Linked DNA regions of Alligator mississippiensis. The protein of the gene in region 4 purifies or fractionates together with the protein of the main gene of each other region. This does not show direct contact. Links are inferred from orthologs where the notes say so. Each region holds a gene or a part of one and is shown on either strand. Other genes may lie near its edges.

What was found.
Region 1: the proteins of VIM (region 4) and XPNPEP3 purify together in Homo sapiens (affinity purification with mass spectrometry; 3 studies listed by BioGRID and IntAct, with this or other methods). This does not show direct contact. The link is inferred for Alligator mississippiensis from reciprocal best matches to the Homo sapiens genes VIM and XPNPEP3.
Region 2: the proteins of VIM (region 4) and GAN purify together in Homo sapiens (affinity purification with mass spectrometry; 3 studies listed by BioGRID and IntAct, counting the BioPlex papers as one, with this or other methods). This does not show direct contact. The link is inferred for Alligator mississippiensis from reciprocal best matches to the Homo sapiens genes VIM and GAN.
Region 3: the proteins of VIM (region 4) and SYNC purify together in Homo sapiens (affinity purification with mass spectrometry; 3 studies listed by BioGRID and IntAct, counting the BioPlex papers as one, with this or other methods). This does not show direct contact. The link is inferred for Alligator mississippiensis from reciprocal best matches to the Homo sapiens genes VIM and SYNC.

The regions. Positions count from the first base shown.
Region 1 is NC_081827.1:97,768,092-97,775,789, forward strand, and holds the start of XPNPEP3 (xaa-Pro aminopeptidase 3), read right to left. Parts: upstream 3,007-7,698; 5' UTR 2,711-3,006; coding exon 2,650-2,710; intron 1,903-2,649; coding exon 1,750-1,902; intron 1-1,749. Other genes in the region: ST13 (hsc70-interacting protein), read left to right, coding at 3,144-3,253, 6,775-6,832. UniProt on the Homo sapiens protein: Catalyzes the removal of a penultimate prolyl residue from the N-termini of peptides, such as Leu-Pro-Ala. Also shows low activity towards peptides with Ala or Ser at the P1 position.
Region 2 is NC_081833.1:70,096,605-70,104,433, reverse strand, and holds the start of GAN (gigaxonin), read right to left. Parts: upstream 3,020-7,829; 5' UTR 2,940-3,019; coding exon 2,773-2,939; intron 1-2,772. UniProt on the Homo sapiens protein: Probable cytoskeletal component that directly or indirectly plays an important role in neurofilament architecture.
Region 3 is NC_081829.1:5,341,742-5,348,816, reverse strand, and holds the start of SYNC (syncoilin), read right to left. Parts: upstream 3,015-7,075; 5' UTR 2,708-3,014; intron 2,280-2,707; coding exon of another isoform or gene 2,048-2,279; intron 1,959-2,047; exon of another isoform or gene 1,889-1,958; intron 1,872-1,888; exon of another isoform or gene 1,718-1,871; intron 1,690-1,717; exon of another isoform or gene 1,382-1,689; intron 1,208-1,381; 5' UTR 1-1,207. Other genes in the region: NHSL3 (uncharacterized protein KIAA1522 homolog), read left to right, coding at 2,048-2,279.
Region 4 is NC_081828.1:181,330,035-181,337,242, reverse strand, and holds the start of VIM (vimentin), read right to left. Parts: upstream 3,010-7,208; 5' UTR 2,964-3,009; coding exon 2,401-2,963; intron 1,534-2,400; coding exon 1,473-1,533; intron 1-1,472. UniProt on the Homo sapiens protein: Vimentins are class-III intermediate filaments found in various non-epithelial cells, especially mesenchymal cells. Vimentin is attached to the nucleus, endoplasmic reticulum, and mitochondria, either laterally or terminally.

The DNA.
Region 1 (7,698 bases), on a different chromosome or scaffold from region 4:
AATTATTATTAGGAAGATTCCTAAATGTGTATGTATGCTTTAGTTACAATGAAAACAGAACTTATTTCTTTAGTCCTGGAAGACCAAAACATCAAATCACTGGGTTAGGGATTGGCAACATTTTGGGGCAGAGTGCCAAAAACACCCATAACCTTGACTTGTAAGATGTCGGCATGCCAGAGACAGACAACAGGGAGGCATCAGGGGCTTGATCCTTGTTGTTACAACGCAGCCCTGGTTCCTTCCCCACCATCTGCCCCAAGGTGCGTGTGTCAAGCAAAATGCCTTTGCACACTCTAGCACCTGTGCTGGGAGTTGTCTGCCCCTGTTATTAGGGGTGCACTGATAAAGATTTTCTTGGCTGATACCAATGGTTGATTATTAACCAGCCATAATGGGCCAATACTGATTCAGTAGCCGACTTACAGGAATGCAGCCCAGAAGCTTGGGGGGGGGGGGGGGGGGGGGGGGGAGAGAGAGAGAGAGAGAGAGAGAGAGAGAGAGAGAAGGGGCATGATGGGGGCTGACTGAGGTCCCCACAGTGAGGGAGGGAGTGGGGCAAGGGCAGACGCTGCCCAGTCAGGGCCGTGAATACGACCCTGCCAGGAGCAGAACAGATCTGCAGGTGGCTTGTCCAGGGGATACAGGGCAGCTCCCCGCCGCTGCATGCACCCTTGGGAGTAGCATGGCAGGGCATGTGCCCCCCCAGATTTGTGCACAGGGTGAGGGTGGTCTGCCCACTGTGGGCTCAGGGCCAGGGGCTGTGCCAGCCTCTTCCCGGCTGCATTTGGGGTGGGTGGGGTGGGGCAGGTAGCAGCACTGGGAGGGGTGGCTACAGGGTGGGCTATGGCCACCCCAAAATTCACCATAGCCCCCCCTGTAGCTACCCTTCCCAGCACTGCCACTGCCTGCCCCACCCCCTCCAGCCCTGAGTGCTCAGCACCCTGCCAGAAAGAGGCTGGAGCAGCCCCTGGCCCTGCGTCCTCAGTGGGCAGCCCACCCTTGCCCTGCACACAAATCCAGGGGGGCATATGCCTCTCCTGCTTCCCCTGGGGGTGCAGTGCAGTGGTGGGAAGCCACCCCCTTCCCCATCCCCCTGAACAAGCTGCCCGAGGCTCTGTCCCGGAAGGGTCATATTCACTGCCCTGGCTGGGCCTTGTGGGAGCCTCAATCCGTCCCCCCATGCCCCTTCCCTCCCCCATGCCATTTCCTCCCCAGCAGGATTACCTTCAGGATGCTGCTCTCCAAGCTGTCTGTGTGCATGCACGCAGCATTTAATGGTCACATTATCGACTACACTGGCCAAAAAAGCTGATTACCAACAATGCTAATTTGCCTTTTATCACTGCCAATTTGATATGCCACTGATGTATCAGTGCACTTCTGCCTGTTATATACGACAACAAATTAATGCACATTGCAAAAATCATATTTGTTTTTGCTCTCATCTTAAACAGAAAAACGCAGCCCTTGGACCCCTGGCATATTAGTAAAGCTTACAGCTTCTTTTTACAGGAGAAAAATGTGCATTGTGTTCTACATAACAATGCACTGCACCCTGCGCAGCCCTCTTCTCAAGATCTTGGCTCTGCCTGTGGTTGGCCCAAGGGCAGCGATTCCCCTAAGAAACCCTTGCCTCTTGCACCCTTTCTGGTGCATCAGGACTATATCCCCGCTTTACAAACACTTCGGTCCTGATGTAAGACATTCTAGAAACACCAATTGGGAAACGTTTGCAAAGACACCCACCTTCCCACACAGGTCTAAGGGGTTGCACTGATCCTGGCAGGGTCACACCAAGACCTGCTGCAAAGATGGAGAAGGAGAAGCCACGCAGACATGACTCCTTCCGAGTTGCTGTGATGGCAATGAGGGCAGGTGCATGCAGCAGCATTGCCGGGTCTTAAATATGAAATTATCATATTGTAAGCACAAAATTATCATATTTGCTGGAAAGCTATCACATGCTGAAACACTATGCAAATAAGTACATAAATAAATCGTCTTCTTTACTTTATATTGTTCACTGCAAGCTGCCAGTGAGTGAGAGCTGGGTCATCACAGTCTAAGCATTTCTGTGTCTTGAGTAGGACTGTCAACTCTGTTTGAATCTATTTTGGGAAGTTTCGGGAATGCCAACGTGCCCATGACACACAATACGAATGTGCCTGCATGTTACGGAGTACAGCGCACAGACTTGGTCAGGAAGGCAAATACACGACTATTAAATTTTTAAAACCCACTGAACTACTGCATAAATCAGATTCAACATTTAATATTTATTTTAATGAATGCCCTATCATTCATCCCCTGGGTGCCTCTCTGCAGTCTCCTGGAGGTTTATATCTGGAGACTCCAGGGCAATCCTGGAGAGCTGGCAACCCTAATCTTGAGGTGAGCCGTCACAGCAAACCCGAGAGTCAGTTTTGCCAGTGACTTAGGTTTTCCACCTGCTGCGTGCCTAAGCTGCCTCCAAAATGATCCTACAATTTTGAACGCTTGTACTATTACTGTTCGTACAACGGGGTAAACGTTCGTACAAATCCGACCATGACCGTGCACCTGGCAGCACCGGCGCCGCCCCCACCACGTGGGCAGTGGGGGCCAAGCTGGGGGCATCCGTGCCTAGAAGGAAGCAGAGGCTCTGACCTGCTCGGCTGCGCCAGCCGCGGGCGGCCGGGAGACACCTCTGACCCGGGAGCCAGGCCATAGCGCGAAGTACCCGCTCCCGCGCCGCTCCCCCCCCGCCCGCGCGCACCGCGTGGGGCCTCCCGCGCTGGCTAATGACGTCATCCGCCAGCGCCTCCTCTCGGCCGGGGACCAAGCGGAGGAGGTGGCGGCGCTAATCTCCTGTCAAAAAAAAAAAAAAAAAAGCGGCGTAGAGCAAAACGACCTGCTCCGCCCTCACTGTGGGGGCCTGGATTGGAGTAGGGCGGTTGTTGATGACGTTGAGGGAGGAAGTGGGACGTGCTCCGGGCGCCTCGCTTCCAGAAGGTTCCGGCCGCAGCGGCGCGGCGGGGTCGAGGGGCGGGGCCGCGGCGGGGGTGGGTCAGGGGCTGGGGCTGGGGAGGCGGTGCGGGGCGGGCAGCGGAGAGGAGGGGCTAGCGCTGGGCTGCACTGCACTGCACGCTGCGCGGCCCGCCATGGACCCGCGGAAGCTAAGCGAGCTGCGCTCCTTCGTGAAGCTGTGCAAAGAGAACCCGGCGCTGCTGCATTCCGAGGAGCTGCACTTCCTGCGCGACTGGGTCGAGAGGTGAGGCCGGGAAGCCCCTGTCCTCCCGAGGGGCGGCCGCCGCTGCGCATGCGCTCACCCCCTCCACGGCGGAGGGAATAGCGTCTGCGCTCCAGAGTCCCGAGGGGATTGGGGGGGCGGGGCCTGCTGTGTTTTGAAGAAGCGGCCCAGGAGGGGCTCCCAAGTCTTGAGCGGCTGGGGAGTGAGACGGGTCAAGACTAGGGGTCGTCCCGCGAGGCGAGGAGGTCGCTTCAGACTGAGGGAAACAAGGACTTTGTGTCTCCCGCAGGGCTCCAGGAGGGGGCAGCTCCTTGCACCAACCGGGAGCGTGGGGGTAGGGGAGCTGCAGAGCTCCTCTGGCGGTGGCCTGCCTCGGCCCTGCCCCGGGATGGAGCCCGAGGCCACACGTGGTGGGCGGGCAAGTGAGCGAACCTTGGGTTTCACGGAGCCTTGACACTGTCACGGGTGCTGGCTGGGGGCTTGGCCAGCTTCCAGCCTGTCCTTGGCGGGGGAGGGGACATCCCTTGCTCTTGAGCAGGGGAGTGAGGGGCACTGGGGACTTGCAGTCCAAGATTCCCAGTTCACTCTCCTTTTCAGCCTCTCTTTGCCACTGTGTGACATACAGGCCTTTTTATTGGAGGGTGTTCATCAAGGGGCTAGTGGGACTGCTCGCGAGGAGTGAGTACAGTCTCCCAAAACAGGAGGCTACATGTGACCTCCTTTACAGGGGTTAGAAAACGCAGCTGGAGTCCAGGGTCAGCTCTGACAAAGTACTGGAAAGTTTCTGGTCTGTTGAAGTGGTTCTTTGCAATCTGTTGAAGAGCCAGGTAATACAGGAGCCTGGGCAGGAGGGATCTATGGTCTGACCCCGTCAATGGTAGTTCTTACATTCTAGCACAGTGGTTTTCAACCTTTTTTATTGGAGGACCCCTTTGGAAATTTTGACTGGAGGTACGGACCCCTTTGAATTGTAAGTGCAGGCATTCACTTGCTTTTGATTGATCAATCAGTCACTTTCTGCGGACCCCTTAGACATAGTCTGCAGACCCCCAGGGGTCCACAGACCACAGGTTGTAAACCACTGCTCTAGCACCGCACACCAACTGCCTCTTGCTACATGCATGTGGAACCCCTTGCTTCAACCAGCCTCCATTTCCTAAGACCAGGCAGCTGCTGTACATGTGCACTGTATTTATGGCTCCAGGTAATGTTTTTATTTTGGATTGGAAGTGACCTAGCCTAGGTGTTTCTCACAGTGAATATCTCTGTATCCCACCCCTTCCCCTCCCCCATCAGAATCAGCTGTACCCAGGCTTGGTGAGTTTGGAGAACCAGAGAGAGAGTGTCTTTTGAGTCCTGACAGCTAGAATCACTCTGTGTGTAGATATGGGGAGTGCAGGGAAAGTGCTTGGCTGCAAGGAGGAAGTTCATGTTTTTTTATTCTGTCAGACTTAGTATCTGTTTAAAAGCCCATACTTGTAAAAAAAAAAAACAAGTAGAATGTCTTAGACTGCTATCTTAGGTGTCGAAGGCACCGTAGGGGAAATGACTGTAATGCTCATTTTGCAGCAGTTCAGTTAACAACTCATCTTAATCAGGCCCCCCTGTTTGGATCATCTTTTTTTTTTGCTTTTGTAACTGATTATTTCAAGTTGAACATTCACATTTAAACTCCTGAATGCAAGAAACTTTCTCAATGAACATCAAACCCTCACTTTACATGTTTAGATGTACAAGTATGCAGAATTCATTGGGTTGTTTGTTAGAGTTTTTTAAAGACGTACTCTTATTTTCTTGTATGCAACATGCCCTTGTATACAGTATGCATCCTGTATTTGGAAGGCAGCATGAAGAAAAAGAAATCTTTATAGCAACAACTAGGGAGCCATGCCTGCTGTCAGCCCCACGCACCAGATCAGGCCTGTTGGGTTGGACCCATTGTGTGACAGGGTCAGCCATGGAACAGCCATGCATGACAGTCAGATCCAGTGTTGTGAGGCCATGTCACCTGTGGTGGGGGGAGCTCCCTGTGGGTCTGGAAATTTGACACCAGATCTCCAGACCCACAGAGATCTGTATTTCTCACATAATATGCACCCCAATTGTTTGTTGGGGAAGGCACAGGTTATGCGCAAGTAAATACAGTATTCTGATATTGTCAAGAAAAAATCCTTAATTTTCAGGATCTTGTATTTATTTCAGTTTGAGGTTATTCCGCATATGAAAACAGAAAACTTGCCTTTTCTTCAGTGTGTGGGCATTTGCTTGGGGGTCTTAAGTCACATTTTGCAGATAATACAAGGTTTCATGTCTGCATTTATTGGCTTTTTGGGGTTAATGATTGAAAAACTTAGAGTAAAACAATAGTGTCGTCAGTCCCTCCTCAGGTTGAGCAGATGAGGCAGTCTTTAAAAATGTCTTGTAAACACTTTTCTCCTCTTGTTAAGCTTTTAGAGTAGCACTGACATACGCTTAAGATCCATATGTATCCATCTAATGCTCTTAAGTTCTGGGTAGTGTCCAAGTTGGCACTATTTGTAGTGCCAGTAACCATTATACAGTCAAGCTGTTTAGAACTCAAGTGCTAGGTTTTCTGAGCATGTAGAACAGGAGTCTCTCGGGGCTGCAGGCCACGCACTATGCCTGTTTGTACTCATCATCAGTACAGTATTGATCATTTGTGTTATTAGGAGAGTTGAAGAAACAGCTAGTGGAGAAGTTGTAGCTGCTTTCTGAAAGGGAAGAAAAGATTAGTAGGAACGTTGTCAAGTGTACAGTACTTATATCTAGGTTGGGTTTTTTTAAGGCGTTTTCAGAATGCAAAACTCTTGATATAGCATACACCGAGTGACTTAATTTACCAAGGGTGCATGCAGTGCTTTCCAGTAGTTAGAGGACATACCCACTTACCCTAATGATCTTTATTAAGCTGTACTTTCCGAACCCTGCTCATCTAGAGTCTTAATGCAGTAGAACAGTTTGTGCTGTTAAAGGGACTGTGCCAACATAAACAACATGTCTTTCTTACCAGTGGTGAAGAACATTTAGATGCTGTGATGATGTAATAGATTTTCTTTAGTTTTCTCTGTGCCTGCATTGTCTTGTGAATATTAAGATTCAGTAATTTTTAAATCTAGTAAAAATTATTAACTTTTTTTGAAGTAATTTAGATAAAATTTAGTTAGCATTTTCAGCTTTCTTTACTCAAACTTTGTTTATAGATCAAAGAAAAGAACAAGCAATTTCAGGCAGATTGACAGATATTCTTTTTGAAAAAAAAATGGGTAGTGTAAAATAGGGAGTTTAAAACAGAAAGGCCAACTGAGTTAGAACTAACTTGCTACTATAGGACAGACTTAAAGGAAGGGTGCCTGGCTTTTTTGTTCAGTGCTTTTACTTTGACAACAGTGATAGTTTGGTTTTACTTCTACCTTTGGGACAGTCTTTTCTTATTCTAAGCTCAAATCCTGCTGAAAGGCCTGTACTTGATTAATCTAGTCTTTAATTTTTGTTCTCCCTATTCCTCCTCCTTTCCTAAAAAGCATGGGAGGTACGATACCACCTGCTCCAGCCAGTGCCTCTGAAGAGGAGACAGTTAAGGTAAGAGTGCATTTTTATCCGGAGGGGGGGTAGTTTGACAGAAAAATCATAGTATTTCAGGGGGAAAACCTGTTCAAAGTTTTCAGTGGGACAAGTGAATTTATAGAAGCTTTTAAATAGGGCGTCTCTACAGAGTTTGAACTGTGACAGTTTCAGGCTGGTCTGTTTGCAGTTGGTAGTGAATACCTTTTTGCCAAAGACCACTCTTCCCAGTGTACCTCAAGTGGTGTTTTCATCCAGCTACTACACACACTCTGAACAAAAGAGTAGTCCTTCCCATCAGATGTTGTGGACGCTGACAGTTTAGCCAGATTTGAAAAGCAGTTGGACAGATTGTTGGAGGCAAGGTGCATCTAGTAGTTACTGAGCATGAGAGTTACAGGTACAACCTCTAAATCAGCATTTCCTAGACACTAAATGCTGGAGGCTGCAAGTGAGAGAGGAACAGTGGGAAAAACCCTGGTCATAGCTCTGTTCACTCTCCCTTTCAGCATCCACTCTTCCACTGTGACACAAAATACTTAGGAAGATGAACCTATGGTTCAGCCCACTAAAGGGCAGTTTTAAGAAGAACTGCCCTGAAGAATTCGCAGTCTAAGCTACTATGAGATGGTAGAAAAGTATGCAGACATATAGGAAGTATAAGGAAACTGAGACAGTTGGTCAGCATGATAGGAAATGGCAAAAGCAGCTGAACTGTTAAATGTTTTATACTCATTGCAGCAAAAGATATTTTCAAAGTATAATTTAATAGAGGGTAATGAGGTAGCTTTGGGGGATGTTTATGGTAAGCTTTAGAGAAGCGCTGTTTATGTGAAAGTTTAATTAGTAGGTAATGAAAGTTGGCATTGTTGGCCAGTTTGAGG
Region 2 (7,829 bases), on a different chromosome or scaffold from region 4:
CATACTTGCCCAAAAAGACTGGCCATCAAACAGGTTAGGGAATATGTCTTTTAACTCTCTGGTACTACATAATCACAAAGCCACATTTAGAAGTTAACTACCAAGTTGATATTTCTTTCTGTATAGTTTATTCAGTTTTCACTAAGACCTTTGAAAGCTGCTGCTGTGTTATTTGAAAAGGTGTGTATAACTGCCATAAACATAGTGAACGCTGAGCAGTAAAGCATCTGTGATACCTCTTTTTCCTTCGTTCAAATAAGACAGCATATCTGATTTATGACAGTGCAAAGAGTATCCCCTTGGGCATTAAGTGAAGTTTTGACAGGCACATGAAGTGTTAACAGTATTGTGCCAAGGTGCTCCTCTTCAGTGAGTGTTTGTTTATTATACATAACAACTTGGAACAATTTGCAAAACCTAAAGTCAAGCAATCTGAAGTCTAAAACCAAGCAGTGTTGCCTGATGGATCCCAGTTCACACAACAACTGTTCGAGTCCTTTAATATACACCTCACCCATATCTAGCTCAATTTATGCAGGTTTTCATGACAACTTGTGCAGGGAGAGTGAAACTGGCCTGACTCTATGAACATCTCAGAATATTAGCAGGGCTCTATTACCGTTTTGGGATTTACTTAAATAATAATAATAATAATAATAAAAAAAATACTGAGAAGTATATTTCCACTTAAAAAAAAATAAAAAGAGAGTTGCTCCATCTATTAATGGCAGAAAAATCCTTTAAATTTTACAAAGTAATCTATGGAAATTCATTGTTTTTAATCCATGTACTCACCCTCAATCATGTAACATAAATACATCAAGAAGGGGCATAATCTGACTATTTTATATTACTGGACTCATCGGCTTTGAGTCTTGAAGAACTAGGGCTGGAAGGGATTTCCAGAAGTCATCTAGTCCAACTCGCTGCTTGAGGCAGGAGCATCCCTATCCACACCATCCCATACAACCATAATTTAAGCTCTATGTAAGACTGACATCAATCACCAGTGTAGAACTAACACCCTAACCTGCCACAGGTAAAGCAGGTGAACCACAGCAACCAACATCCTGCTTCTATGAAACGTTGTCAAAATAAGCTCAAGAGGTCCCGGGTAGAGGTGATGCCTCCTGCTACAGAAGAAAGCAGTCCGTATCAATCTGACCACGGGGCGAAATTCCTTCCTGACCCCAAATACAGGGTCGATGTGACCCTGAGCCGAGGGGCAAGATCACACTAGAGAAATTCCCCTGCACTTGCTGAACCAGAACCATTAGTGAAGAGGTTTAAATGCACATGCAGCCCAGGACCAACTCTGTTCTACACCAATTCAGAAGCCACGATTGTGCTGCATATTCTGTGTCCTTCCCTGCACTTGCTGGTCCCTGGTCTCAGCACAATTTTGGCTGCACCTGCTGCTGACACCCATTACCAACAGCTCATTTTCCCCTGGCCTACGCCGGCTTTTGTATCTCTACTGAGATCCAAAGTAGATCTCCCCTACTGTCAAGGTAAATGAGCTGCAAAGGTCAGCATGAAGACAGAAACAGCTTTTGGATGCCCCAATCAAATTTACAAAGTTAAAAATGGATGTACTTCAGAACCCACGAACGCTCCCTGGGAAGCTCACATGCTGCCAGAAACAAAATAGCAGCCGTCATCCGCAACATAAACAATGAGCCTATCTAATGCCAAATCCAGCTCTATTGATCTTTAAACCAATAATGAAGCAAGATGACTAGTTTACAAACTCTGGCAGAGTCAAACTGTCGGATGAAGTTACAAAAAGCAAAACAACCAAACCCAAAATGCTAACATTGCTCGGTGCCTGACAGGCCGAAGGCAGGCAGAGCCGGCTGCGTGGTACCCGTGCGCTGTCCTGCGAGCACCGTGCAAAATCTACACAGGTTACCAGGAAAACAAAACAAGTTAGTGTTGAGACACAGCTCTTTATCCGATAATCCCACTATTATCCACTCAGCTTTACTTCCCTGCCTTGCTGTTTTAAATCTGGCTTTTAATAGTGTTTGATCAGGGGTTCTTAGATCAGGTTAGGTCTGGCCTTGCAGGCCGGGATTCAGCACCGTACCAAGGCTCCTGGCGGCGCCGGGTGAACTTTTAGTATTGGACCCCCTTTGGCTGGGGATAATGATAAAAATAATTTTTAAAATTACCATTTTTGGGTACCCTCTCTGTCCAGGCCACCCGGTTTGCCCATGCTGGGGGTGGTCCATGGGCCAGACTGAGCCACAGACCTCCCCTGCCCTGCTCGATACCAGATCCGGCACCCGCGACGCCCGCTCTGTGGCCCTCCCCGCGCAGGGACCCTCCACACAAGAGGCTTTACCGCGCAGCGGAGTAATTTGCCACGCACTAAAGCGACACCCTCTACACGTGCTTGGCAGTGAGGGTGCAGTAGACAAACAAACCGTGCTGCCCGCCAGATACAAGCGGTATCCAGCAGCACTCAAACACACGCTGGGATTAGTTTACTCCGGCTCAAATTGAGTCGCAGTCACTGCACATGTAGATAGTGTCTCCCACACGCGTCCAGGAGCGCACCGCTGCTTCCAGGACCGGTCCGAGCGGGCGTCGCACACGGCGCAATCCGGCAGCATCATCCCAGGGACACGCGACGTCCTCTCAAAGCACAGTGGCTTTCCACACGCGCCGCCTGGACACAGGGACACGACAGCTCCGGGGAGGGGCTCCCTGCGGCCTGCCGGGCCCAGCCCCCTCCGGCCTCCCCGCGCCCCTCAGGCCTCCCCGCACCTGATGTAGGGGCTGGCGGCCGCCAGGATGTTCTTCTGCACCGGGATCTCGGCGCCCTCCAGCACCAGGTGCGCGTCGCAGAAGCGGCTCTCGGCGCGGAACGAGCGCAGCGCCCGCAGCAGCCGCGCCGCGTGTTGCGGGTCCGACACGGCGCGGGGCGCCGACATCCCGCCGCCGCCGCCTGCTCGTCCTCCGCCTCTTCTTCCTCCGCTGCTACCGCCGCCGCTCCTGCTGCCGCCGCTACTGCTGCTGCCGGCCCGCCCGGCCTGCCTGACATCATCTCCCCGCGCGGCCGCCCCACCCCCGGCCCCGCCCCCCGCAACCGCCTCCTAACTGTCACCGCCCCGGCCCCGCCCCCCGCTACCGCCTCCTAACCGTCACCGCCCCGGCCCCGCCCCCCGCAACCGCCTCTGTCCAGTCACCGCCCAGGCCCCGCCCCCCGCAACCGCCTCCTAACTGCCACCGCCCCGGCCTCCCCCTTGGCCCCGCCTCAGGGCCGGGCTCGATCGGGCCCCGCCCCCGCATCCCGGCCCCGCCCCCGCATCCCGGCCTTGAGCTGTTGCGTGCGCCGCCCGCGTGAGGGGGCTGTAAAGGAGGAAAAAACACTGACCAATTTTGTTCTCACGTGACAAAAGAGACGTGTTTGGTCCCGCCCGCACTGAGTCCACACAGGTGTGCGGAAATAACAGCTGTTCATCATCAAGTTCCACGAAAATCCGTTTTCGTGGATTGTTTTTTCACGTGGGGCCTCCTAGTTTAGGGCCTCAGCATGGTGTCATCTGGTGGGCCCCGGGTCAGGCCCCTCACGCCAGGATCAGGCCCCGTGCCACAGCCGCCTGGCTCCATACGCCAGGATTTGGCCCCGCATTGGTCCCTGGGGACCTGGGATGAGGCCCCGCACACCGGAACAGGCCCCACATGAGCTGCGCTTGGCCACGCGTGCCAGGATCACGCGGTGTGCCCAACGTCGCATGTGGGGCCGTGCTACCTGTTGAGCCTGTTGTCTACCATCGAGTCCGCCCGTGTGTTTACACGAGGCCTGAGACCGGTTTGGCTCCGTGTGGCAGCGTCGCACCAAGCGAGGTGACGGCGCTCGAGCTCCCACGGTGCTCGCTTTCCGCTCTTCCGTAAAAGCCCTGCGACGAGGCATCCCGCTCCAGCTACATGGTTTTATAGTTTGTAAAACAAATGAGCGTTGTCACCTGTATTCCTTAAACATGAGTCAGCTTCTGGAAGGCGGCAGTCGGGTCGGCCAGGCCCGGTAGAGCGCGGGGAATAAAGGTCTTTTACTCAACTACAGAAAAGATACAACATAGATACCGACAGCGCGAGCTTCCCTGTGTTTTCCTGCCAAGGTGCCTCGACGCTGACCTCAATTAGACCGTTCTGTCTCCGTGCCCAGGACCAGCTAATCCTTGTAGGAAAAAAACAAACGAGCATTTTAACCTGTATTCTTTAAACGTGAATCAGGTTTTGGAAGGTGGCAGTCGGGGTGGCCAGGACTGGTAGAGAGAAGAGGGGAAAATGGTCTTTTACTCAACTACAGAAAAGATACAACATAGATACCGACAGCGCGAGCTTCCCTGTGTTTTCCTGCCAAGGTGCCTCGACGCTGACCTCAATTAGACCGTTCTGTCTCTGTGCCCAGGACCAGCTAATCCTTGTAGGAAAAAAAGAAAAGAAAATGAGAAATAAAGTGAGATTCATTTGGACAGCGCTTCTTTTCGTGGAAGCATCTGCCAGGCTAATATTTCCAGAAAGGAACCGGAGCCAGTCCTTTCCAGGCATAAAGATTTTATTTAAAAGGATTGTACTCAAGATGTTTAGGCCTTGTATTAGTATGCCTTAATTGCCCACAAGGAACTGTCCTCCTAGCTGTTTTAACTTTTGTTTAATAGCATTCACTATTTGAGTGAGAGTAGACCTGTGATTTGGCACTGAAAAGAAACACTTTAAAAACTGTGATGCTGCTTTATCCTAATTGCATCGTGCTTGATCCCCTCTTGTGCATTAGCGTGGGTTCGTTTTGTTCTCAACTTTTCTTAGTCTGTGATGGACATGATTTGTAAAAGAAAGTTGTATTCATATTAACATTTTGTATTAATATAGTATGTTATAATATGTATGTTATGTAATACGGTATGTTATAATGTGTAAGGCCTAACCAGATTGGGGACAGCTTCGGTAGTTCTGTTACTGGAACAATTAGAGTGAAATAGTTTTAAAATTATAACGAAGGTGAAATAAATAGTGGTTTTGCAAGGACAACATTGTGCTTTCAGATCCATAAAATAGTGCTAGGCTGCAACAATTTGTTCTTTACATGGAGATCACTGGGACATAAGCCTTGATACAGAAAATCACTGAAGCAAGTGCTTAGCTGTTAAGCATCTGGACAACCCCATTGTAGACAACACTGAGGTTCACATTTATGCAAGCGCTTTACTGAATAGGGGGTTCACCAAACAGGAACAGTATAACCACAGTCTAAGTCATGCAGATGTGCAAAATAATTTTCATGCCTAGCTCAGTGGTTTTCAACCTTTTTTCATTTGTGGACCCCTAAAAAATTCTGAATGGAGCTGCAGACCCCTTTGGAAATTTCAAATGGAGACATGGACTCCTTTGAGGTGTAAGGGTGGGTATTCACATACTTTCGATCGATCATAGTCATCTTTCGCAGACCCCTTAGACATAGGCTGCAGATCTGCAGGGGTCCGTGGACCACAGGTTAAAAAGCATTGGTCTAGTATAACATAACAATTGTAAAGGCATAAGAATAAAAGAGACTACGTTTTCACAGAACACCAGCCGGGAAATACTTCATAGAACATGATAAGTGCAATACAAACCATACACAAATAGATAGTCTAAAAGACTGAAAGGAAAATGCTTCTGATTTGGCTATAATCGTACAAGGTCCTGAGTGTCCTCCGTTCATTGGGATCAGTCGAGTCACTGGGGATAGTTCTCAAGCCCCTTTGAGCGTGATAAAGGTTGAAAGAAGTTAGTACACCACAGTATTGGCTAAGGGGTCATGTGTTTCACCTGCTATTTCTAATACTTTGGGAATTTCATAACCAAGGAAGTAATGCTCTTAATAAATTAATTTGAAAGCTGTCATTGAGTGGCCTGGTTTATCTAAAAAGGAAGAGCTTGTTTTGTTTTCACTGGCACCTGTGTGTGCTATTATGATGTATGAAAACATAATTGTAGTTTTGGTTTTAATTCAAACTAGTAAACAACGAGCCGGCTCCCTCCCACTCTATATGTAGAGCAATAAGAGCAGGTGTAACAACTAATATCCACTTCCGGTAGAATAAAGTAATTATTGTGCTTCATTTGTTCAATTTAATAAACCTTTCCTTTAATTGATGAGTCACATAAATGCTGGTACCAGGATGTTACAAGGGTCACTTTAACATCTTGGGAGCAATTACAGGATGTAAATATTCCTAGTGACCTGTTCTGTTGCACAGTAATTTTTTTTTTGTCTTCTAAGGTTATTTGAACTAGTTCATTAGCATTGCCTCAATTTGCAGTCATTAGACCAGATTCTCTTTTCACATACACTGGTATAACTTCACTGGTTTCTCAGAGCTATTCCTGTTTCTTGCCAGTCCAAAGGGGTATCAGCCTCTCTCGTCCCAGTCTTCATCAAGAATGTCAAGGAAACAAGTCACTGTGATGTAAACTGATTACCACATACCCCTTTCACAGGCACGGATTTATGCCAAATTGCTACAGCAAAGGAAGCAATGAGCCCTACCTCATTTCAGGAAACAACCTACACCCACTTGATACTGTCAGCCCACACATTAGGGTGCTACGTATACCCTAATACCATCTTATAAGATGAATCTTGAAGATTGCTAGAGCACCTCCTTGAAAGATTTTAGTCTTCATTCCAGCCAGACAGAGAATTTAAAGAGTTATGGTCCAGTCCATTTTTCTTCCAAGTCAGTGGTACATGGATTACACCTTCAGTTGGTTAGTGGCTCTTAACTGAACTTACAGGTTTTTGTTATCATACTCATTTTAAGACTATATAAAACATATTAATCCCTCCTACATTGTGCATTTTAAGTAGGCATAGAGCAGGCCATCAGATGAAGGACTGAAAAAAAGTCATAGAATAAATTGTCATTACATTTCCACTCCAACATATGTTGCACATTTTGCTTCCTTAGAAATTAATAAACAAATCTTGATTCATTCCTGGGAAAGACGCTCCCATGCCAGGTTTTCCTCCTAACAATATGAGTTAGTTCCTAAGAAGCTGGCTGGATTAAGAATCCCATGTGCTATATATTGGTTCATGTGTCCATAGTCAATGATTAACTGATGAGTTTTCACTACAGGTGGAGTCTTATGGATAAAGAATTCCTAAAAGAAAACCTGTAGTGGTGGTTATGTACAAAGCTGATTTATATCCAGCTTACATGAAAGACAGCAAACTTTAAAGATTACAGTTTATATCTATATATAGATCTATATCTATATATCTATCTATCTATATAGATAGATATAGATAAATAAAAGATATGTATATATCTATAGATAGATAAACTGTAGGCATACATATATGCCTTTTCAGATAAAGAAAAATTGTCTGTTTTTTTAAGGGAACTCTTCCAACAATGGAAGTAATCACTAACTGTAGTATTCCATTTCATTTCTACTGTGTCACTTACAAAAATGGTATTTAACTTACGGCTTCATTGGTAAAATTTTCTCAGCCACTTGGCAGTGGTGCACATAGTTTTAAAACAACAAAGGCCAGTGCTGAGATCACAGAATCATAGAACACGAGGGTTGGAAGGCACCTCAGGAGGTCACATTTAGTCCAATTCCCTGCCCAAAGCAGGACCAGCCCCACCTAGATCATTCCAGCCAGGGCTTTGTCGAGCCTTAAAAACCTCCAAGGATGGAAACTTGAGCCTTAAAAACCTTAAAAACCTCCAAGGATGGAAACTCCACCACCTCCCTAGGTAACCCATTCCAGTGCTTTTCCACCTTCCTGGTGAGAAAAGTTTTCCTAATATCTAACCTAAATT
Region 3 (7,075 bases), on a different chromosome or scaffold from region 4:
GATGCAAAGTATCCACATTTCCATTCCAGGATCATTATTATTTATTTAAGACACTCAGCTTTGTGCAAGCCACACAAACACAAACAGCCTCTGCCTCAGAAAGCTTTCGGTTTGAATGAGATGGCCTTGCTCTGGGAAGCCTAGAGGAGAGAAAGCCGAGCTTTCAGAGGGTGAGGGTTTTAGTACTTCTAGCCATGTCTAGAAGTCGACAAAGTCATTTATGTCTTGGACAGGCTTTTTGGGATCCTCTAAGGGGGAAAAAAAAAGACTGTATTTGAGAGAACAGTTTTGCAGTCCGTCTGCTTGGAAAACACACCTGCCCGGTAACGTAAATGTGTTTATAGCAAAAAAAGACAATTAGCTTTTTAGCTTGCAATGTTTGTAGCCTCCCTGTCTGTTTTAAGCCAGTAATATTCCAAGCTGCAGCCTGGCAGACACGTTGCCAGCCGCTGCAATGGATCCCATCAAAGATCTGCGGAGTAATAGCACCGACAGGATGCATAACAGCTCCTTCTGAGTCTTCAGAGCATCATTAGGAGATGAATGAAATGCTGTGAGCAGAGGATGACTCAAGCCCTCTCGCTGGCTCTTGTACACAACACTCATACTCCAGCTTATTTTGGTAACTTGCCCTGACATTCCTCATCCCTCTAAATGTTTTCTCTCTCCATTGGGTAGCAGTTGGCTATCAGTCAATATGTGGATGCACGCGAGCTGTACATACGTATGTCTGGGATTATACATTATCCACAGGAAGGATTTATGGGGCTCTGATCATCACAGTATATGAAGAGTTAGCTCCAGCCTGTTATGACATTGATGGAAATACACAGCCTAGGTAAACTGCTCTGTGCTGCTGGGTGTGGGCTCTTTGCACCCGAGGAACAAAATTCTTGTTACGGACTGATCTGCCTCTGGGACCTGCTTGTTTTTATAAGCAGAGGCCAGCGAAACTGCATCAGCCCGTTACTGAACCTTGCTGTTTTCCAGTTCAGATTGATTATAAACGAACAGCCCGGCACAAGGCATTGCCTAGGGCCAGATGACCAGCTGAGAGTGACCAACCCCAGCTGCACCGAACCCCCAATTCCTCGGTATTGCTCTCGCGTGCCTTCTGTATTACTGCTTTGTCAGCGGTGACAACGCTAACTCCACTTTGCTTCTGGACTACGTGGAGTTGCAGACCTCCAGTCTGGTACCAAGCTGTCTGCAATAAAGGGAGAGAACAGTCATGAAATAGCAAGTGGTGTCTCTTCCCGAATCCCCATGCACCACTTTTATCTACAGACAGATAAACTGCATCCACCCAGCACAATCTCTTTGGAGAACATTTAACCCTCTAGGATCCTTGCTTAAGCAACGTGACAACCCCAGAAGGCACCTTTGAAAGTGTTTTCACCTCCTCCTTGCCTAAGGTCACGCAGAACCGGTCAAGCGAGCAGTATCCAGCGGCACTTAGGTACCACGCTGACGGGCAGCGGGGTGGATGGGTAGGGGGCATTAGCTGCCAGGCCTCCCTTTCTGCAAGAACCCAAAGCCTAGGCAGAGAGACCCACTTCAAGGCCGTCCTTCCCGGGCTGGCGGGCACAGCCAGCGGCTGCCCCCCACCCCGCTCTACCTCCTTAGGGGACCGCCCGGAGCCCCACACTTGAGGGGGTCCCTAAAATGTTGCAACATGGGGCCCCCTCCTCTTGCCCAGGGTCCCCGGGAGCCAGACCTGCCGCCGCCCGTGGGAAGTCCGCGCATCCAAGCCGGGCCGGGAGCGCAGAGAGGAGGGAGGAGCCGGCCGGCTCATCCCGGCGGGGGAAGGAAGGGGCAGAGCCGGAGCCGTGGCCGGTTCTCCCGCTCCCAGCCCCTTCCCCTTCCCCTTCCCCTTGCCCGCCCCTACCTGGCTGCGGGAGGCCGGGCTGGAGGCGGGTGCGGGCCGGGGCTGAGCTCCACACCCCGGCGCGCTCCAGGCTCCGCCCGCCCGCCCGTCCGGGAGAAACTTTCCCGGCCGCTCCCTCCGCGCTGCCGGGCTGGGGCTGGGGCTGGGGCTGCCCCCGCTATGGCTGCACCTGCGGGGGCCGAGAGCACCTGGGCGCCGGGTGCCGGGCAGGGCCAGGGCGCCGAGAGCCCCCCCAAGAAGAAGAAGTCCAAGCCGGGCTCGTCCGGGCTGCGCCGCGCCTTCAGCTGGCTGCGGGGCCGGAGGAAGAAGAAGAGGAGCTCGCAGCCCCCGGCCCAAGGGGACCTGCCCCCCAAGGGCAAGAGACCAGAGGAGCGGGGCAAGAAGGGCAAAGGTGAGCGGGCGGCGGGCGCCTCCCCGGGGGCTCCTTGCTGCCAGGGGCACCCCTGTCGCTGCCCAGTGGGGTACCCGGGCACGGGGACGCGGGGCGATCTCCGACCCCCCCCACGGGGATGTTGCCGCTTGGCTGGGTACGTTCCCGCGCACTGAGTCAGAAGGTCACAGAGGCCGGGAGGAACCTGGAGCTCCTCCAGCTTTTTCCGTCTCCAAATGGCACTCGGGCACCGCCGGCGTGGCCTTTCCTGCCTCCGTGGCAGCCTGGCGCGTGGGGCACTGCGTGCAGGATCCTGGGGCATGCTCTGCCCCCTGACTCCGGCATGGCGTCGGGGCATCAACCCTGGAAGTGAGAGTTTAGCTAGAGATGGGTGCCCCAAGCCCATGCTTCTGGCCTGCTGGGAGAGGAGACGCAGCTGTGACACCTACCCTACGTGCCGAAGCCAAGCTGCTGGAGGCTCAGCCCTTCGTCTCCGGGATGGAGACTCCTCTTGCAGGCCTCTGCCTGGCGTTGCGTGTTGCTGCGTTCCTGGCGGTGCTGTTCTTTTTAACATGGGTGTCCTCTCTTGGCGTGTGGCCGCGCGGTAGGAGCAGTGCAGTGCTGCTCCAAGTGCTGGGGGCAGTGTCCTTGCTCCTGTCCCCAGATGATGTCTCCCCTGCCTTGGTGGGGCCGAGATTCCCTTGGCCTCTGTAGGGAGGAGAGCACGAACCAGGTGCACGGCGCAGCATTTCTCCCCTTGCACTCTCCTTGGGCATTCATTTCCGGATGCGTGTGATGTGGGAAGTTGGTTTTTTGTCAACACTCAGTCAGGTGTTTGCTTGGAGGAGCACAGTGCGATAGGATGGAAACAGCCGAGGAAACACAAGTTGTCTTTCCCTAGGGATGTTTGAGAAAGGGCTGTCGTTCCCCATCACATTCTTCTGAGACTTACCAGCATGACACGTACCCCCAGCCTTTCCCTCAGCACTAGACGGGAGACTCCTCCCTAGCTTGCTCCTGCAGCCATACGGCTGAGGGCAAGCAAAACTCAGGGGCATCCAAACCCCAAGTCTCTGGGCTTGGGCCTGCACGTAGGATGCCCGCCAAAGGATTTGGAAGTAAGCCTCAGGCTGGGGTGGAGGATACTTGCCAGTAGCAGGACCACATATGGTTCTTGGACGATTCAAATGGATTTGGACCTGATCTGGCTAAAAACCAACCCAAAAAAACTAGGGACCTGGATATAACAGGGATGGGCTTAGCTTAAGAACCTGAACAGGAGGGAATAAAACAGCCCAGTCATGCTGCTGTTCCTTGCTGAGGCCTGTGAACCAGCTGCATGCCCTTGACATGGCTCTGTTGAGAGCCTGGAGCATCTCCCCAAGGCGTAAGTGGCTGAGAGCTGGGCATGGCTGGGGCACGAATGAGGGTTGCTGGGCCCACGTGGAACTGGGCTGAACAGTTCTGTGCCACGTTTCCGTAGCAGAGCCGCTTCTTGGTGTGCTGGAGAGAGGTGTGGATCCTACAGTCAACACCAGTGTGAACTGATTACTGTTTGTGCGCCTGATTAAATTCCTCTTGTCTGTTATTATAACATGCTCCTGTCCAAAAGGGGACCCTGCCCTGTTTAACCCCTGCTATTCCAGTTGCTTAGCCCTTCCCAGTCTGAGGATTTGGCCTTGAAGGCAGCACAGACCAAAGGATTCAGCCTAGGGTTGTAATCATGGCTCGGTTCCAGACCTTCTGTGTGACCTTGGGCCAGTCACATTTTGCTTTTCGATGTCCTTCTTCGTAAAGTGAGGCGATAGTGCCTCTGTGTGTCACGGGAGGGTGGGAGGATGCTGAGGCTCATGACTGGGCAGTATGGTCAAGCAGGAAAGAGTGACAGCTATAGATGGTACTAAGTTATTTATTAGTTTCTTATGTGCAATATGGGTGCAGCGCTGGGATCAGGTAACACTCAGCTGCCATTGCCTGAAATACTGACCAGGAGGAAGGCTAGAGCTTCCTAGCTGCATGCACTATACTCATGACGGGGGGTGAGCAGTGGGTAATATGCTTTGCCAGTGCCTGGGAATTTTCCATTTGCCAAGCTGGAGATGGTGGGATGGGACTTTGGGAGGAAGACTCTGGAATTGAGGCAGGGCTGGGTAGCCCCATACCACTCTGATTCCTTGGGTTGCTGATGGTGCATGCTTTACTGCTTCTCTAGATTTGCAGGGTGCTTCGGGCCCTTTCAAAAGCCTGTGGCATCATCCCCTGAAGTAGTCTGTGGAGCAGCAGTGAGCAGTCTAGGAATGCGAATCTCTGTCCATTGCACTCCTTTGCACATTGTGAAGCATTAGATGTGATTATAGGCAGGAGGCTGGGGTGCATGCATGCAGAAAGGGTCCCTATAGCCAGTACAGCTGCTGGCCAGAGAACTGCAGGGAGTGGGGCTGTGCTTGGCCCGGGCATGAGTTTATGGAGCGAGAAAATCACTCCAATGAGGTCAAGGGAGTCATGGGTCAGGATTGCATTCCCTGGAGCCTGGGCATCTCTCTGGTTGTGATTTGGGTGTCAGCTAGGGGTGGATTGCTTCACACTGAAATTATGGGAACACAAGACGGGTAGAAGTTTCCATAGTGGATCAAATCCATGTAGTCAAATATCCGGTCTCTGGCTGAGCTGCCTCAGAGGAAGGTGGAAGTCACGCTGTCGTGGGGCTGCCTGCCCTGCCCTCCTCGCTCAGAGCTGGCCTCCTGCCTGGGAGCAGAAGGATTCCTTTGCCTTCCAAAAGCCTGGAGTTTTAGAAGCTCCTGTCTCATAACTCCAGGCGCTCTTGTCATGCCTTCAAACGTCCTCACCTTTTTGGAAAGCAAGTCTGGCTGAGCTCGGTGTGGCAGCAGTGCCACAAGACATTGCCCTCGGTTAGCTTTAGTTTTGCAGCCTTTCCATCTTGCTGATGGCCCTGGCCTATGTATCAGCCTCCCAGCCTGGGTGTCTGCCTCTATCCACGTGCTCTGCCCACTGATGTTTCAGGGCATTCACAGATGGGGCCTGGCACTGTCAGGCACCCTTCCTGTGTCTTCAGACCCCCGTCATCCCCACTGTTACCTTTAAACTGCAAAATCTCCCAGGCAGCTGCTTGGCCAAGGCTCCACCTCCTGTTTATGAAACAAAATAAATCCTATCGCACTCATCTTTGCTGGCACACAAGGTACGGAAGGATACAGGGAGCCTTGTTAACCCTTTAGAGCTTCCACAGTTTGAGAAGGATCTGGTCTACTTAAGGGGGTGCCATCCATATAAGCCTTGTGCTCCCATCGAATTGATCTGCTCCTGTTGGGGATAACCCCGGAGAGCACTGGAAATGAAAAGAACCTGTGATCTTGCTCGCGCTTTGGTCAGTTTGTTACCTTCCCCAATTTTGACTCGTCCCTTTTAGAGCCTTGTATGAGTCCTATCTGAGCACCCTGCAAATTTAAAGCACACGTCCTCACAATTCCCTTGGGGGCAGCAAAGTGCTGGTAACTCCATTTTTGAGAAGAGGAACTGAGGCCTAGAAAATGAGATGACCTGTTGAAGGTTACAGAGGATGTTTAGGGAGAGCAGCCTGGGCTTGGACCCCAGCCCCTTGGCATCACTTTGCATGGGCTCCATTGCTTTAGGTGTTCAAGGGAGTTTCAGCCTTGGGGACAAGGACGAAGAAAAGCGTGTTGTGGAAAGTGTCAGTACAGACCCACAAACAGGGTTAAGGTGGTTGTTGAACCTTTCTGTACTGTTGCATGCACACCGGTACCACATTTCAGCAGCGCCATTTGAACAAAATGTCATTGAGGAGCAGTGCGTACTAGGGATTCTGGTCCAGTTTGGGATGTAAATTTCCCAGTATTGTTCTGAGCTCCCTTAGGAAAGAAAGGAATTGATGTAATCTGAATTTAATAGGGGTTTTATTTTGTACTAGTGTTTTCCAACAGCAATAGACTCCCCAGATGGTGGGGTCACTGTGATGTTAAAATCAAATACTAACTGCTTTCAGCTGGTTTGTATCAAGAAAGAGAATTTGCTGGGAATGATATGTGATTAGTTTATTGTTTGCTGTATCTGGTGGAAGTCCTACTGATACTCGTCTGTTTTGGAGGATGCTGGGTGTTCAACTATAATAGATCAGAGGGATCTAAGGTAGCCGTGTATTAGTGCTGAGGGCACTTAGGTGCTGTGCTTCAGCAGTTATGTACTCAGTTATGTGCCAGGCCTGAAAGTGCTGGGATGCTGCTCTGTAATAATAGTTGAGGTGGTGTAGTCTTATCTGCATGCTGCAGTCACTAGATCCATTGCCATACGATGGCAGACGTGTCGCCGCTGCGATGACACCGTTGTGTCACAGTGTGGGAGGGTTTCGGCTCACTTGATAGAAGCAAGGCAACGTAGCCTGCTGGACATGTTGCATTTGAGGCTTTCGTTCAGTGGGACTGTTGCCATGTATTTGGGCATGAATTTGTTAATCTGCAGAGAGTGACATTTCAGGAAATCTGAACAACAGGAATCTACTGGCTGGTCTGAGCTGGAAACTCAGCTCCTCTGCTAAACAAAGAGAGGTGTGTCTTCCAACCACAGCCATTCCACCTGGAGACACCTGGAAGAAATACTCTTGCAAATAATGTCCCATAAGATCCGATAAAACTACTTTGCTGGAATCAGATTTCTCTGTATAAGGAAGGTTTTCTTTCATAAGACAATATGATCATTGACTTTGACTCTAGCACAGAAGGGAACACAAGCCACTGGAAGGTGAAGAGCTGAGCAAAGATGAAGTCAAAAAGTCTTTACCTGCC
Region 4 (7,208 bases):
GCCTCCAGCCAGATCCCAGTCCCTATTACAGGATTGTATTCAACTACTATGAACTTTGCCTTTCCTCCTCACCTTCTTTAGGAAGTCATGTAAAGAAGGTAAGCACTTTCATCTTAAATTAACTAAATTTAAAATAACCACCAGAAAGGCTGAGCTTGCAAGCCACTATTTGCAAGCTTGCTACTTGGAAATACCTGCACTATTTGAAAAGTTCAATATTGTAGGTCAATTAAAGGTTAGTTTCTTGCTAAAGTAATTAAAAGGTATCCAGGTAACCCTCATTATTTCACTCTGAAGCTTAGCTGACTACCTCCTGTCTCAGACCCCCAGCTCCCCCACACCATCTTTGAGAACCTCTACATTAAATAGAAAATCCAGTTTCAACACCGTAACCAGTTAGTCTGCTCTTGATATTATAACCCTTCCCTTAAAAAAAAAAAAACACAAAAAAAAAACCCCCCAAGATTGTGAAGCAGATAGGAAATTTTAATTTGGAACAAAAGCTTTGGAAGTTTGAAATGAGGTCAGTCAAGTCTTCTGAAGGAGTCCTGTATTATATACTTTGAGACTGGGAAACAGAAAATAGTTGATGCCTCTAAAATATGCTTGCATCATTACACATCCGATAAGAATGCAGCCTGTTGAAAGTCCCCCTGAATACAAAGACTTCTATTATTTCAATCTGCTGCCACTACACTTGCCATAATGCCTGCATCTGCATTCCATGGTGAATCCCATAGAAACCATTAATACCCTTCAGCCAAGCAAGCAGATGGTTCCCTTTCACCCTTATTGGATCAGAAAGTGATTCCACATCAGGGCACTTTTGTAAGATAGGCTAGACTTGGATAAAGCAAAAAAACAAAACAATACAATAGTTTCTCCCCTCCCCCTGAGACAACAGCATCGGCCCAAAGAAAACAAGCAGAATCTACATGATTACTGACAGAATTCCTCTGTGCGTTAACAAAAGCCTCTACAAAGTCCTGGGATCTCATTTATACACTAACATTTCACCTATGATACATCAGGCATGCCATACCTAGTCATGCAGATGACTTCTACTAATCCAATTTATTTAATAAAAAAAACAACCAAAACAACCCCCCCCACTCAATTTAATTAAGCTGTATCATTTGCAAAATATTCCAAAATAACCCCTACATACTTTTTTTTTTTAAATAACCTTGCAAGTTTATTATTGTATAACTGAGTTTTAACCCTAAAAGCATGTTGGCATCCTGGATTAAAAAAAAAAAATTAACCAAAAATTCCCCCAAAAACGCTCTAAGACTAAACAAAAAAATCCATATGAACGTCTACAGCTTTTCCAGTCTGCTTTTTTACCACTAGGTGGCTTTTCATCCAACTTATGTATTATGCAAGCTTTATACACTTCAATTTAGGTTGGCTGGGCCCCGCATTTAAGTGAAAAGAGAAGGGAAAAAAGCAAACAAACAAGAGAGACAAACCTGTCTGAAAGACTGTAGGGTGGTTTCAGCTTCTTCTCGCTGCTCCATCTCATCTTGCAACCTGAAAGCAGGAACATAAACAAGGGGTAAAGCCATGCAAGGAGGAAGCCACCAGCCCCTGGTGTAAAACCTGAGTGGAGCCACACCCATTCAGAGGGAGAGATGGAGCATTTGCTAAGAAGCATCCCATGCCTACACTGCCCTGGGGGGCAGAGCCTTTCCAAGTCAGCCTGACTAGGCTTTTCATGCTTCCAGTTGACACAACTGTCCCAAAACCAGACATGAGCATCACAACTCATTCAAGGGATGCAACAAGTGGCTGACTCCAAGTTGGGCTGCTTGAAAGCTGCCTTCTGCAGAAACCCAAGCTGTGGAGGAGCGACTTTCCTTTGGTAAAGGAAGGAAACAGACTAGCCTGCCCATCCGCCCAAGCCTCCCCCTTCAGGGTGGGGCTGAAGACCCAAGATCTGGTGCCCCAGGTCTCACCCCACAGCCCTAGGGAAACCTCTCTCTGGAGGCCGGGCTACAGTCACAGAACATTAGAGTTGAAAGGGACCTCAGGGTTTCATAACCCGTGGGTTGCAACCCAGCAAGAATATATGAAAGGGTCAGGCGTAAACTTTAAAAATGGGTTCTTTTAAAGGAGAAAACGTGTGAAACCACAACTTCTCCCTCCAGGCTGGCAGAACTGTGGGGCTAGGGCAGAAGGTCAGGGGCGAGGGGCAGCGGGTCGGGACTGGCCACCCGCGCCCTTGTACAAGAGGATGAGAAGCGCTGATCTAGTGCAGCCCCCTGCTGCGTAGCCAGGGGCAAGGATGGAGACCCCAGAACCGCTCCAGCGCTTTCCCCCACCCTCCTGGGGAGAAAGTTTTCCTGTTGTCCAAGCTCAGCTCCCCTCCCGCCCTGCCCCGGCCCCCCGGGCACTTACTTCTCGCGGAGCTTCATGATGTCGTCGGCCAGGTTGTCGCGCTCCACCTCGACGCGGGCCTTGTCGTTGGTGAGCTCGTCCACCTGGCGGCGCAGCTCGCGCATTTCCTCCTCGTAGAGATCGCCCAAGCGGGACGTGCCCTTGCCCTTGAGCTGCTCGAGCTCGGCCACCAGGATCTTGTTCTGCTGCTCCAGGAAGCGCACCTTGTCGATGTAGTTGGCGAAGCGGTCGTTGAGCTCCTGCAGCTCCACCTTCTCGTTGGTGCGGTTCGCCTTGAACTCCGTGTTGATGGCGTCGGCCAGCGAGAAGTCCACTGTGTCGTGCAGCATGCGCGCGGGCGGCAGGCTGCTCCGCAGCCGCACCGACGTGCTCCTGGTGGCGTAGCCGCCGGGCGTGGACGAGAGGCGCACGCCGGCGCTGGGCCGGGCGCTGCCCAGCGAGTAGCGGCTGGACGACGTGACATAGCGGGTGCCGCCGCTGGAGCTGGAGCGGGCGCTGCCGCCGCCTCCGCCGCCACCAAACATCCTGCGGTACGAGGAGCCCTTGGTCGTGGTGAAGCTCATGGCTGCGGCGTCGGGCGAGCCTAGCGGTTCGAGCGCAGAGAGCGGGGCGCTCGGCGCGGCGCGGGCTTTATAGCCTGCCACGCCCTGCCCGCTGCCAGCCAATCGGCGGCGCCGGGCGGGGCGGGGCGGGGCGGGGCGCGGGAGGGGGGGCCTGGCTCGGGACGTGGCGGTCGGGGGAGACCCCGGCCCCGCCCGGCCCGGCCCGGCGGGACTTCGCGCCTTTTGGCTGGCGCGGCGGAGCCCATCCGCCCGCGCCCCGCGGCTGCTCGGGCGGCGGCGCTTTGCCGGGCAGGGGGCGCCGCATCCCCGCTCGCAGCCCGCCCTGCTCGGCGCGGCCCCGCCGGCGCCGGGGCAGAGGCACACGGCGCTGCCCGCGCGCGTCCCCGGAGACATGAAAGCTGCTGGAAGGGTTGGGCGTAGCCGCGCTGGTCTAACGGCACTGGCAGACAAGTCCTTTGGGTAAATCCGGTATCTTTTATTAGCCCGACTCAAATAGTTGGAAAAAATCTTGGGAAGAAGAATCTTTCCAACTATTTGAGTTGGTCTAATAAAAGATATCGGATTTACCCAAAGGACCTTGTCTGCTTGAAGCCTTGCCCTTCCTTTCCCCCTGCGGTTGCTTATTCCGCAAGGTAGAGGCTGAACGCCCCGGAGGGTATGGCCTCAGCTGCGCGAAAGGGCCGTGGGCCCCAGGCTGAGCAGTGAAAAGCGTCGCTTCTCTGGCGCCGTTTCTCCCAGGGCTGAAGCGCAGAGACCTCAAGCAGAAACTGCTCTTCAGCGCGGTTTTCCCCTGAGCTGGGTGAAGGAACAGGGTGGATTTGCTAGGGCCTGGCAAGGTGCAAATGCAGGTTTTAGTTGGGCTTGGTGTTGTTCTAGCCAGAGGTGCACAGGAGTCAGCACTTGATGCTCATAAATAGAAGATGGTTTTCACCGTGGCAGCACGTCTGGAGACCAAGATCTGGCTCTTGCTTCCTGGCTCAACCCTCGGTGACTGGGGACCCAACAGGAGCCTGGCCACTGACTCCAGTGGGCACCAGCCCAGGCTTTGAGCCTTTCTAAATGAGTGCTCTGGTGAGCTGTGGAGTGTAAACAGCAAGGAGCAGGCATTCTTTATACTTAGGCAAGACTCATCCTCTCAGATGGGAATTTTGACTTAAGAAAGTTGTGCTCTCTGCAACTGTGAACAATTATTCAGGTGCTACAAGGAGTAGGAACTAGGAAGAATGAAAATTTACATTGAGTGGCAGGGAAAACTCCCTACCAGCAAACTGTATTTGCTTATAAAATTGTCTCCCAAGGGAAGACTTGGGGACTCCTCCCCCCACCCCCCTGCCCCATCGTTAAAACCCAGCCTGGCCTGAGCACAAAGGAGTGAAACTTTGCAAGACAGATCAGCTAAGTGATCTGAGCAGGAGTTTCCATATTTGCTGTGAAAATATAATTGACATAATGTAATCCTGTTATGATGTATTACATGTACTATCATAGTGCCTAGTGTGCTCTATCACAGACAATGAGCCACTGTTTTGTTTTATTGTGTTTTTACATCTCCTCTCATTTGCAACCCTATTAAAACAAATACTTCTACTGGAAGTGCAGATAGACAGCTGATGATGGAGCTGCAAAGCATTCTCCCCTCAGAGGACACTGGAGTCAGACTTACTTGTTCCCTGTGGAGTAGTAATCAAGCCTGGAATGTTCTGTAAAGGCTTTTGTAAAATAAGGGAAACTGCGCTGTGCTTTGATTCTGGATACTACCTGGAAATAAAAGCATATAGTTTGGATCTAAATGAAAGGTTTTCTTGTGGACCTCTTGCCACCCATCTTCAGACCTGCCTTTCTTTTATTCACTGCAGCTTAGTCAAACAAACGAAGCTGACAAGGTTGAACTACAGAAGTGCTTGCAACACAAGACTTGTACTATAGCTCACTTCATTCACTCATTCAATAGGAGGCAGGGGTCACACACATACATGGCATTCCTGAGGCTAACTGTACTGGCATCCTAGCCTGTATTCAGTTGTGCTGTCCAGCTCTCTGAGAGCTCTTTATTTCAGCACATCAAGTTTCAACCAGAACCCTTTGGGAGTTGTCTTAAGGTTCTGGCACACCCTCCTTCTGTGAGAAGGCAAAAGTAAGACAGCTCCTATATCAAACAGTTTATAGACTAATGATACTTTATTTGGGAAACACTGATAGTTTAGCTGAATTTTTAAAGGGGAAGAGAGAGTGTACCACACCCAGTCAGCCTTCTGCCATTTCTAGCAGAACAGTATTTATTTGTTTCACAAAATCCCTCCATACAGTGAGAATCCTGTTGTCAGTATTTATTTTCAAATAAATCTGAAAACCCCATTTTTTAAACATAATTTGTCATATGTTCTTGCATTCCTGACACATGCAGTACTTGGCCAATTGCTACTTTGCTTTTTCGACTGTTAGATTTCCTTAGAAATGCTACAAAGTTGTCAGCTGGAATGGAAATAGTAAGACCCTCTAAGCCATTTGTTGCCATGCTCTCACACAGATACATAAGTGAAAGAAGGTACAAGGTATCTTTCCCCTATTACAAAAGGGGATCTACGTTCTGAAGTTCCTACACTCAGAAGAGCACAAGGCTTGCACTCTCAAAGTAGTCTGAAAACTTCAAGAACAAAACAATGGTAGTGAGGAACTATTATATCCCATTAGAAGTGGACAAGGATTTTAGGTAGTCAGGACACACTGGCCAGATCTGGAGTTTTACCACAGCACAATGGCTAACATGCATACTTTTAGGAAAAGTGCCATGGGATTTTTAAGAACCATAACTGTCAGGAGGCTACCTTCAGTTCTCATCAATGGATAAAATACGTTAACATAATACTCTGACAGCTGTAGTAACAGTCTTGGAAGCAGGGACTGGAACCCAGGTGAATGACCTCATTACTGATGTCTAGAATCATGTTCCCTCTCACTTGTACTCTTCCACTCCCTGGTCTCATAAATCTTGTATTCCTTGCTGAACCATGGCAAGGATTCAGCAGAAGGGGTGGAGAGTACCCCCTCCCACATCCCAGCCTAGCTTTATGTTAGAACACCTCCTTAGGAAGTGGAAGATGTGGCTTTGAACCCCTTCAGGATGAGAAGGAGATGCAACCCAGTTTCCCCATTTCTGCAGAAATCCTCTAACCATTATCCTAGCGATCCTGAACAAGGATGTCAGAGCACCCTGATGTGCCTTCAGATGCTTTCAGGAGTGGTGCAGGGTGCTGCATAATGTTAGCATTGTTAGGTGTGAAACATGATTCACAAAATAAACCCAGAGATTTCAAACAGGAATCTATACTGTTGTAAACATTCTGACTTGCTGTCTTTCTGAGTTCTTTGCAACAGAAAAGTTGTTCTAGTATTTTTCTGTAGTCAAAAAACAAGTAAAAGCTAAGAGCTGGCATTTTCCAAAGGGAAAATGAGTCTCATAAGGGGTGCCTGAACTCTAAAGACGTTGAGAACCACTGCAGTAGGTTATCCCTTTGTGAACCCATGGTTTAAAGACTATTGTGTCTTTACCCAAATATTAAACAGGCTTTTAGATTAATATCTTAATTGTGTATTTTTACTAGACAGACTGAGACATTTTCCATTTTTTAAATATGGACCATTTATTCTTCAAAGGCAGTGCATATTTACTTATCAATGTTCAAAATTCAGAAAAAATAATTTAATGAATTTAACTTATGTTGTGCAAGTATACCGTAGTCACTTTTGTTCCCAAAAAATACTGTGAAGCATTGTTGTTTATTTCAGGAGAAGAGGCTAGAAGCCACATTACCCACTCCCAAGGTAAGGGCCCTAATCATTGGGCTGTGGAGTCATTATCCATTTTTCTCTGTCTCTGCTTCCTGATTTCTCTTCCTTCTTCCTATTCAGTTATGCCATGGAAAGTGAAACAGCACAAAATAGTATAAAAAGAGGAACTGAGAGAATCCTATTCTAAAATAATCTATGTCCTGGTAATTATTTTCTGTGAGATTGGAAATGTGGGTTCAAATCTTCTCATGCAAAGGAGACCCTATTCTTAAAAAGATCTTCCCAGAGCCACCCATCCTAGCCTTCAAACAAGCACCAAACCTCGCCAACCTCATCACCAGAAGCAAACTACCTCAAGCCCAGAACACACCAAAAGAATCCAGACTGTGCCATGACAAGAAATGCAAAACCTGCCAACACATCTCCACCACTCCCACAATTACTACACCCCACAAC